2 separate regions of the Mus musculus genome follow, and region 1 is reported to be linked to region 2. The links are microRNA targets in miRTarBase. Many come from high-throughput screens and were not tested one by one. Region 2 holds a microRNA gene; the other region holds the end of a gene's coding sequence.
The links. The annotated mature microRNA mmu-miR-3073a-5p reads GUGGUCACAGUUGGCGCCAGCC and lies in region 2 at 1,735-1,756, opposite strand. An mRNA with a match to its seed (bases 2 to 7 or 8) in the 3' UTR can be bound and repressed. Matches are read on the target gene's strand: a 7mer-m8 pairs with bases 2 to 8, a 7mer-A1 pairs with bases 2 to 7 and ends in A, and an 8mer does both.

Region 1 (4,328 bases), not on the chromosome of region 2:
CTCAGCACTGTGTATGTAATCAAGGCTTGTCTTCAACTGTTCATCCTGCCACTGACTTCCAAGTGCTGATATCACAGGCACGTGCCTCCACATCTTCTGCACCACACTCCTATCCTGCCTTCAGCCCTTACTCTTCCTCCTCCACGTACACAAACTTGTTTTAGCCCCTCAGATGCCTCCTCCACAATGCACTTGTGTGTGTACTTTATCCTTAATTCTAGACCGGTAACGCCTGTGCTCCTTGGTCCCCATCATCACGTATTCCAAGGGGTTAGGCTTTGTTGTTGGCTTTTTGTTTTGTTTTTTGAAACGGGGTCTCTTTACATAGACCTGGATATCCTGGCTATGTAAACCAGACTTTCTTCAAACTCACAGAGATCCACCTGCCTCTGCCTCCCAGGTGCTGGGATTAAAGGTGTGTGCTTTTAACCACAGGTTCCTGTCGCACCAAGAACCTTTCCTCCCAGGACTCGCTATATGTGGGTGTTGTGTGACCTTTTGGTCTTCCACTATGAGGTCAGTGGAGTCTGGGTTTGGTTTGGCTTTGTCCACTGTTTCTTTGCTGAATCCAGTACATTGCTGGCTCTTAGTGTTATTTATGAATGGTCTTCCAATAAGAGTTTGTGATGGAGTTTTTATTTCCACGGCTTCTCCAGTAGGTGGCAGCATTAACAGCAAATGAAAAAACTTGATTTTATAGGTCTCGATTTTAGGTGTGAGCATTGCCCTGCTGCTGTTATTGATTTATTATCTGTCCTTAGTACTTGCCACACTGCTGTGTGGTTGCTTATTTATTGTTTCCTATATTGTATGCTACTGTCTGTCAAATATATCATACGGATACTTAGTTCACTATTTAGAATACAAGAAACATTTTCTGCCTATAAGAAAAAAATTCCAACTGTGGCATAAACAAGTTGGGTAGCCGGGGCCAGGGGTTGGGGAGTTGCAGATTTTTTTTTTTTTAATGGCAAAGATTAGACTTTTCAGGGTTCATGTTGCTGATCAAGGATTTCCTTAATACAAGTCCTGTATCCCATCTTAGCATACCTGGATGCTACATCTCCAGGGTAAGAACTCAACAGCCTCCTTGGAATGTCTGCTCCGTGCCAACACTAGCTTACCTGACTGTTGTAGAAAACTTTAATCCCAATCAGGGGTTTCTAGCTCACCTTTGATCATTTAGTCCTCGGGTAATGAGAAACCAGTGTTTTGCCTTCCCAGCTGTCTTTATTTCCCTTCCTGTCTTGTTATATAACCCAGGCCACCTGGGACTCAAGGATTAAACAATGTTTAGTGAAATGAATCCCACCAGCTCCGCCTGACACCAACTGCCTGGTCACAGCATATGACAAAAGGCAATTCCTCAGTCCCCAAGTGGTGCTCTGACTCATCTCCCTTGGACTCAAGCCCTAAGTTGGCACCTTTAGCATTTTAGTTCTGATATGGCAAGCTGTTGGCGCACGAGTGCAAAGAAACCTAGTCAGTGAAGAGGAAGTATGACAATTTAGGCAAACACAGGAAAGACTCTCTGAGAAAGGAGTGTTACAAGCAGGGCTCTGCAGTGGGGCCATAGGATAGCATTTCCTTGGGAGTTTACTGTGTAGAAGACCCTGCTCACAACAGTCTCATTGCCAACACACATATCATCATGTCCTGTTACAAGCAAATCACAATGGCTCACTTCCAGAGCACTGAAACTTTGGGGCCTAGTTCTGCTTCCTCCCCACCTAGCAAAATCTCACTCAACCAATTCAAGTACCAGTTCTAGTTCCTCATAGACTTCCTATTTATTTGTCAGAACTTTCTTCCCCTTTTTGCATCTGTCCAGCAAGTTATTGTGTGGCAGCTACTCTGCTCCAGCATTGAGGACCTCTGTACTCTCTGCTGCTAAGCTGTGAGCTCCCTGGGGAGAGGACTTTTTAACCTAATGGACCTTTATTTTCTGTACCTATCACATGTAGCAGGCACTGAATATTTGTGCTTAATGAGAAAGGCACCGGCACAGCCCTTATAGCTACTGTTGCAAGAAAGAGAGCAGCAGGCATGCACAACGCATGTAAGGCGGGGTTTTATAGCAAGACAAGGAAGAAGACATCCTGTTGTCTGTCTCCTTCATCAAGCAAACCAGCTCACTGGGCTTCAAAGTTCGTCAAAACAGAGCTCTATGTGATCCTCAGCGATTAGCTATCCTAGTGGCAAAAGCAGTGGAAAGTAGAAAGCCTTGTGACTCTATAATCAGATGGTTGGAAAACTGTGTTTCCTACCCACAGTAGCAACAGCTGCTACTGTTGCTTCTAGACATTTCATCTTGTATGTATATGTGTGTGTGTTTTATTTTTTTAATGAAAAAGAAATACTTTTCAGGGCTAGTAACACTGTTCAAGGATTTCCTCAATAAAGGAAGTCCTGTAATCCTGTTTTAGCATACCTGGATGCTACATCTCCAGGGTGAAAACTCAACAGCATCCTTAGAATGCCTGCTACATCTCTGTGCCAACACTAGCTTACCTGACCACTATAGGTACAAGTCATACTGTGGGAAACCAGAGCTTTGCCTTCCCAGCTGTCTTTATTTCCCTTCCTGTCTTGTTATGTAACTGGGCTACGTGGGACTCAGGATCGAACAACTCTTAGTGAAATGAATTCCACCAGCTACACCTGACACCAACTGCCTGTTCACAGCATCTGACAAAAGGCAAGCGCTTCCTATAGTTTCTTGACCAGGAAAAGAAGTCTATAAAAATCTTAGGATTTTTGTACAGCTATTATACTGCCCAAGGCTAGAACTTTAGATTACAGTTCAGAGAAGTGATCCTTGGTTTTAAGACAAGGTCTTACTCTATACCTTGACCAAGGTTGCCCTTGAACTTATAGCAATCATCTTGTCTTCAGCCTTCCAAGTACTGAGATTACAGGCATGAGTTATGCCTTAACTCTTTTTAACATAAAATAAAAAAGATCTAATATTTAATACTTTAATACCACACCCACACACAGACACTCCACTGAGAAATGCTATAGAATTTGAGTTACCTCTACTTACTGCCCCTTCCTATGTAATTTAGTCTCGGTATCAAAGCAGCATCACATTAATGCTTCAGTCTGGAGTTCATAACTTGGTCACACTGATTTTTCTCCAACCTATTATTTTCCAAGACCCCATGGCTACCACTTTAGTGCAAACCACTGTCACTTTGTACCTGCAAACTACAAAACATCTGTAGAAATGGACACTGGTTTCCCTATTTTGATCTTGGCTTACCAGTTGATTTCACATAATGTAGCTAGTACTCTGTGGGACCAATACTGTATTTCATGTAATAATGTCTGTATGACTTACTAGAAAAAAAAGCCACACGATCCAATTCAAGGAGGCTCTATATGCAAATAAATCCAAGACCAAATGAATATTAAGGCCATATCACTGAAAGCTAAGGTAAAAAATGCAGAATTCATGTCTGCACAGGTGAAACCTATTTTAATGAGTCACATTGGTTTCCTCTGATACTTTAATACATTCTCAATGTGATCAACAGAAGACAACTTTGGATCGATCTAGAGTTCATTTTCAGACCACAGATCACTTTAAAAGGTCACCAGAAAACAGAAGGGTGAGAACACAGCCCTCGATGAGGCACTCATCTGGCAATTACTGTGTCAGTAAATCTACTCCTTCTGGCCAACTAGAGGTCAGGGGCCGGCATTCTAGATCTAGGACTATGTGATCCACGTGAGGGGCGTAAGATTTCACTGGGTGGACATGCAAGATTCGTGTCCTCCATGGTTTCCCATGCACTTGATGAAGAAGAGAGGCGATCTGAGTTTCTGCAGATTCTGCCCATCTCCACCACTCTGGTTTGTTGGCCGATGATATTTCCCCCCTGAAATTCTCAGTAGTTCCATTTCCCTGTGTATCAGTGGTGATTTTCTGGGGACGAGGCCAGTGCTCTTTTTCCACGTTATTGCTTCCAGGTGGCTGTGGAGTCTTTCCTGAGAAAGACTCCACATTTTGGTGGATATGCAGAATACCCCCAACGTCCTTCCGAAGCACTTGGCAGGCAACGGGCCAGCCTTCTTTAGAACTGGGAATGAGCCCGAGGTTCACCCTATCTGCAATGTCTGAGAGCTTCAGTTTCCTGTTGTCCCCAAAATGTATTTGGCACCGGTCTGCCACTCCATTGATCTCCAAGTTGTTTCTTAAAGCAACTACAGCATGAGGATTCCATTCACAGGCATGTACGAAGGCAGCGCCAGCATGAACTAGGAAGGGCAATGTAAAATAACCAATCCCTGCGTAGAGATCCACCAGCACCTCTCCAGCACAG
Region 2 (4,388 bases):
CTCCACACCACACCTAAACCAAGCTGCCAGTAAATCACCCCAGAAGGTACAGCTGGTGCTGAGGGGCACCAAGGTGAGGGAGGGGAGGGCCCAGCCCTCAGCATCCCCTTAAGCAGCCTGCAGACCTGTGGGCCCCAGAGGAGTACCAGCCTCAACCTAGTCTGATGCCTGCCTCAGCCTGACACCAGTAGCCATGGAAGCATCCAGCCTACCTCCTTCCCAAGGGTGCTCTTGGCGACATCCTATTTCTGGGGCTGACTAGAAGGACACTTGAGCACTCCAGCCAGCCCCAGGTACCCTGCCGGCCCCTCCTCTTGTAGTAACATCTCTCCCATCTTCCCTCCTCAGCTGCTACTCCGCGGCTGCTTGCCAGCCTCTCACTGTTGCAGACTAGCTCTCATTCCTGAGAACACTGTCATAAGTAAAACACAGATCAGATGTGCTCTATGCCCCGCCCCCCAGGTGCAGGTCAGGAGCCTGCAGAATCTGGAGCTGACAAAGCTGTTCCCCACCACACCACTGCCATGCCCCCAGCTTCACTAGGTACCCCCTAATCTCCAACACACCTCCAGCCTGGCATGGTGTCCCTAAAACTTCTCAGGGTGCAATCTGTGGTCCCTGTCACTTATGGAAATGTTTTGAGGACTGGGCTCAGAAAACAGATGAACCCTGTATGTTTAGTCAGCTCCATGGGCCTCCAGAGACACCCTAGGTGTGACCAGGACATCAGCCTGCTTGCCTCCACGTGCAGTAGCTACCCAAGGTACCCAACATCCTTGTCTAAGAACCTGCGGCATTTGCCTTTTGTGACAAAGTTTTTGCAGGTGTGATTGTGTAAAGTACACCGGGGAGGAAGAGAAGATGCTGGGTTTTCACCTGTGTGCCCTTGTAAGAAAAGGCAGGCAGGGGAGCGACACATCGGAGACCATTTGGCAAAGCAGCACACAGAACAGAGGTGTGCTGTCTCCTCGTAGACAGGAGGAATGTGGCCTCAAACCAGGACCCTGGCAGTCACCAGGAAGACCGCTCAGCTGTTAAGGCCTTGAGACTTTAAACTTTGCCTCCAGAAAGTGGGGCGGGCCCTGAGGCTTTCAATGCTGAGTGGCTGCCAACCCCAGGACACTGAGACCTCCACTCTCCTGTGAGTTCCCTTGACAGAAGATGGCACTAGATACTCCAGGGGCGGCAGGGAAGGGGAAGCGGAGGTGAGAGACCTGTGGATGTGTTTGCCTGAGGCAAAGGTCTTCTGTCTACAGCTGGATTATTAACTCTGACCGTGGGCAGTGGCGCCTGAGGGTATCATCAGCTGGACTGAGGGGGTACAGACATTGGGAGCCCCATCTTGAAGGGGGGCACCTGACAAGTATTAAAACTAGCCAGGAGAAATCTAAACTCTCCTATGCTTTCTTTCTGGAAAGAAACTACAAACTTGTTACCATATGACAAGATCCGAGAAAAGAAAAAATGTCACAGAAACAGCGAAGGAAGACAGGACCTGAGCCGCCGCCAGGTAAGACCATTTTTCTGGATTCCATTTAAATTAGAATTTTCTGTGATTTCTTTCAGTGTTCTAATACTGGCCTTCATTCCCGATTCCGATTTCATAAGCTGCATCCTTTTCCCGTGGAGGGTACCCCCAAAGCATGTGACCCTGGGATGCTGAACCCCCCTCCACCTGGCCTCCTGCTGGCCTGCACTATGGTCACAGTGGACATCAACCCATCTAGACTCTAGGGCTGGCGCCAACTGTGACCACTGGGCAGGAACAGCTTTGGCTACTCCGTGCAGAAGCTTAGCTCCCCTGTGGTGGTTGCACCAAATGGCTCCCAAGGGCAGCAGGCAAGAGGTACCCTAGTTAACACAGGAAGCCCTTGGGTGACCAGGTGTCACTGAAACAAGCCTAGGACCAGGCTTAGCGTCACTGGACACATGTTGTTTTTTGACTTGTGACATTTCCATAGAGCCCTGAAAGGGGTGGTGGAGAGGTGAGGCATAAGGTCACCTCTGCCCTCTCCTGCCTTGGCAGGACTCCCCACCCAGTGTTGGGCACTGTTTACCAGAAGGTACACGAGCTGTTACAACAGCGACAATATAAACAGCTTCTCTGTAGCGGAAGCCACCACTCCCACTCACAAGGGGCCAGGACCCACATAAAGTGGGGCCACGCTGGTTAATCATTCATGCCAGTGGGGCCATCCAGGACAGGCAGGGCCTGCAGCCCACAGTTCAGCAACCTCATAGCAGGGCACACAGGGCTGCGACATTGCCTGAGCCCCAGGTTCCAGGCTTAGGCTTTACCCAGTTTGCCTTGCTTTGGGTTCTGCCTCATTTCCAGAAATGAAAATCTCCCTTTTTTAGAAAGTTAAGGTGCCCATTCCTATCTGCCACACATGAGGCAGGCCCAAGGCTCTAAGACCTAGCACTGACTGCCCATTTGTGTGTGTAGATCCCCCTCGAGGCCATCAAAAGCCACATCTCTTTTCTAGTTCTCCCTTGTTCCCAGAGGACTAAGCCCAAGGCTCCCAAAAATTGCTCTAAAGAGTGACAGTGGTGGCACACGCCCTTAATCCCAGCACAGGCAGAGGCAGGCGGATTTCTGAGTTCGAGGCCAGCCTGGTCTACAGAGTGAATTCCAGGACAGCTACGGCTATACAGAGAAACCCTGTCTCGGAAAAAAAAAAAAAAGTGGAAAGGGTCAGAAGCTGTAGGCCGTGGGATCCCATGAGGGCCTGGGATGGGTTTCTGGATAAGCTGGTCTGGGGAGCAGAGCCCTCAGCTTAGAACCGTACTGTCCTGGGGTCTGAAGCCTGCTGCCATTTTGATCTCCTTGGGTGGTGTGTCTGCCACCCTGAGGAAGGAGCTTCTAAACCAGGCAGATGCCTGTTGGCCTCCGTCTCTTCCCAGGGCTTGCATATCCCCGGGGGGTTCGTAAGGGGCCTAGAAGACCTTCACCCATCTGAAAACCCACACCTTACTGACCTGGGCCTTCAAGGATTCATTGCACTTTCCTGACCCATCATGTTCTTCCACTGTAGCACACACGGGGACATCCAAGGGGCACGAGGCACAGTGTCACCACAGGTGGGACTGTGCGCAGAGTCCACTGGTCCCTTAGCTTGGGCCACACCAATTAGGTTCAACAGGACTGAAGTCGCCCAAGTGTCAAGCCGAGAGGGGAAGAGTCCAGGTGGGACAAGGTCCCGGTGCATAGGGCCAGTCCCTGTTCTAGGCAGTTCTGAAGCCTCCTCTCTAAGCTGTGTGCTGGGTTCCTCTCTCCTTTCCTCACACTGCACGTCCTGGTCTGGCCACACTTCTTCCTCAGCCCAGCAGCCACTCCTTCCAGGAGCCTGTGTTCTCAAAGGAGCCCTCAGAGAGTGGCCCCACTACAACCCAACAGCACACACGGTGCCCACTGCAGTAACTGACCCGCTAGCGTTCAGCTTCTTAATGGGTGCTGTTGCTTTGTCATCAGTCCAGTGAAGGCTAAGCAAATTGGCCACGACCTCACCTGCTAGTGGGGTGTCCCCGGGGGGCATTCCCCAGGTTGTCTCGACCAGAGGCAGCAGAATGTGTCAGAGGACAGACTTCCAAGCCCCTGACCCTGGTGCCCAAGCTCCTTGAGCAACCAGCTTGGCCCTCAGTTTAGGAAAACTAAAGGTTCTCTGCAGGGAGAGAGCAGGCAAGCAGCTCTGCCTGAGGCAGTGTTAGTCCCTCAGAGGAAGCTAGCTCACCCTAAGGGCTTTCATAGGCTAGAAGGTGTGGAATGTTCCAGCATCCTTCCCAGCGCCCCAGGCACAGAACAGAGCAGCCTTCCATGGTCCCTCCTCCCCCCATGAGTCTCATGGCTTCAGGGATAGATAACTTCAGGTCAGGAACATTTACTCTGCCCCTCACCCTTTCTAGGGCCGGGGCTCCAGCCACCAGAGCTCCCAGAGGAGAAAGGGTCCTTTCTCCCCTTTCAAGAGACAGCCCCAGAGTTCCCAGTGGCCCAGCCCTGAGGTTGTTCTGCTTAGGGCGTGGGGACACAGACTTACCTCCGCCTTCGCTCCGCATGCCGATGGTGCCGCCAGTGTAAATGGCCAGCAGCCGCCGCTCTGGTCCCATAGCACGCGCCATGGCTGAGACAGCTGGCTCCTCAGTGGGGACAGAGCCAAAGGGAAAACAAGACCGGGAAGCGGAGGGGACTGCAGGGTGGGGCTTACTGGAGGTCTGGGGCTCCTCTGGTTGGTGGGAATTGAAGATCCAAGGTAGGCTGGACCTCGGGGTGTGGAGGAGGAGTCACCTTCAAAGTAGAGAGCGGGACACTTGGACTCTTGTAAAGGGCAGGAAGAATGTCTGCTAGGGATGGGCTGAGACCATAGGAGGGTGGGGCCTCAAAAAGGGGCGGG

Region 1: the mRNA of Trmt12 is a reported target of mmu-miR-3073a-5p. Seed matches in the 3' UTR shown: 8mer at 3,120-3,127 and 7mer-m8 at 1,337-1,343.

The regions. Positions count from the first base shown.
Region 1 is chr15:58,873,420-58,877,747 of GRCm38, reverse strand. It overlaps Trmt12 (tRNA methyltranferase 12), which reads right to left. Exons shown (of 1, transcript NM_026642.2): 1 at 967-4,328. The coding sequence ends at 3,653. Among named protein-coding and RNA genes, the nearest start is that of Trmt12, 2.9 kb to the right of the region's middle.
Region 2 is chr12:112,106,620-112,111,007 of GRCm38, reverse strand. Mir3073a (microRNA 3073a) reads right to left here and starts at 1,770; the gene lies at 1,686-1,770. Aspg (asparaginase) reads right to left here and starts at 4,325. Exons shown (of 15, transcript NM_001081169.1): 1 at 4,035-4,325. The coding sequence starts at 4,116. It overlaps Mir3073b (microRNA 3073b), which reads left to right and starts at 1,699; the gene lies at 1,699-1,758.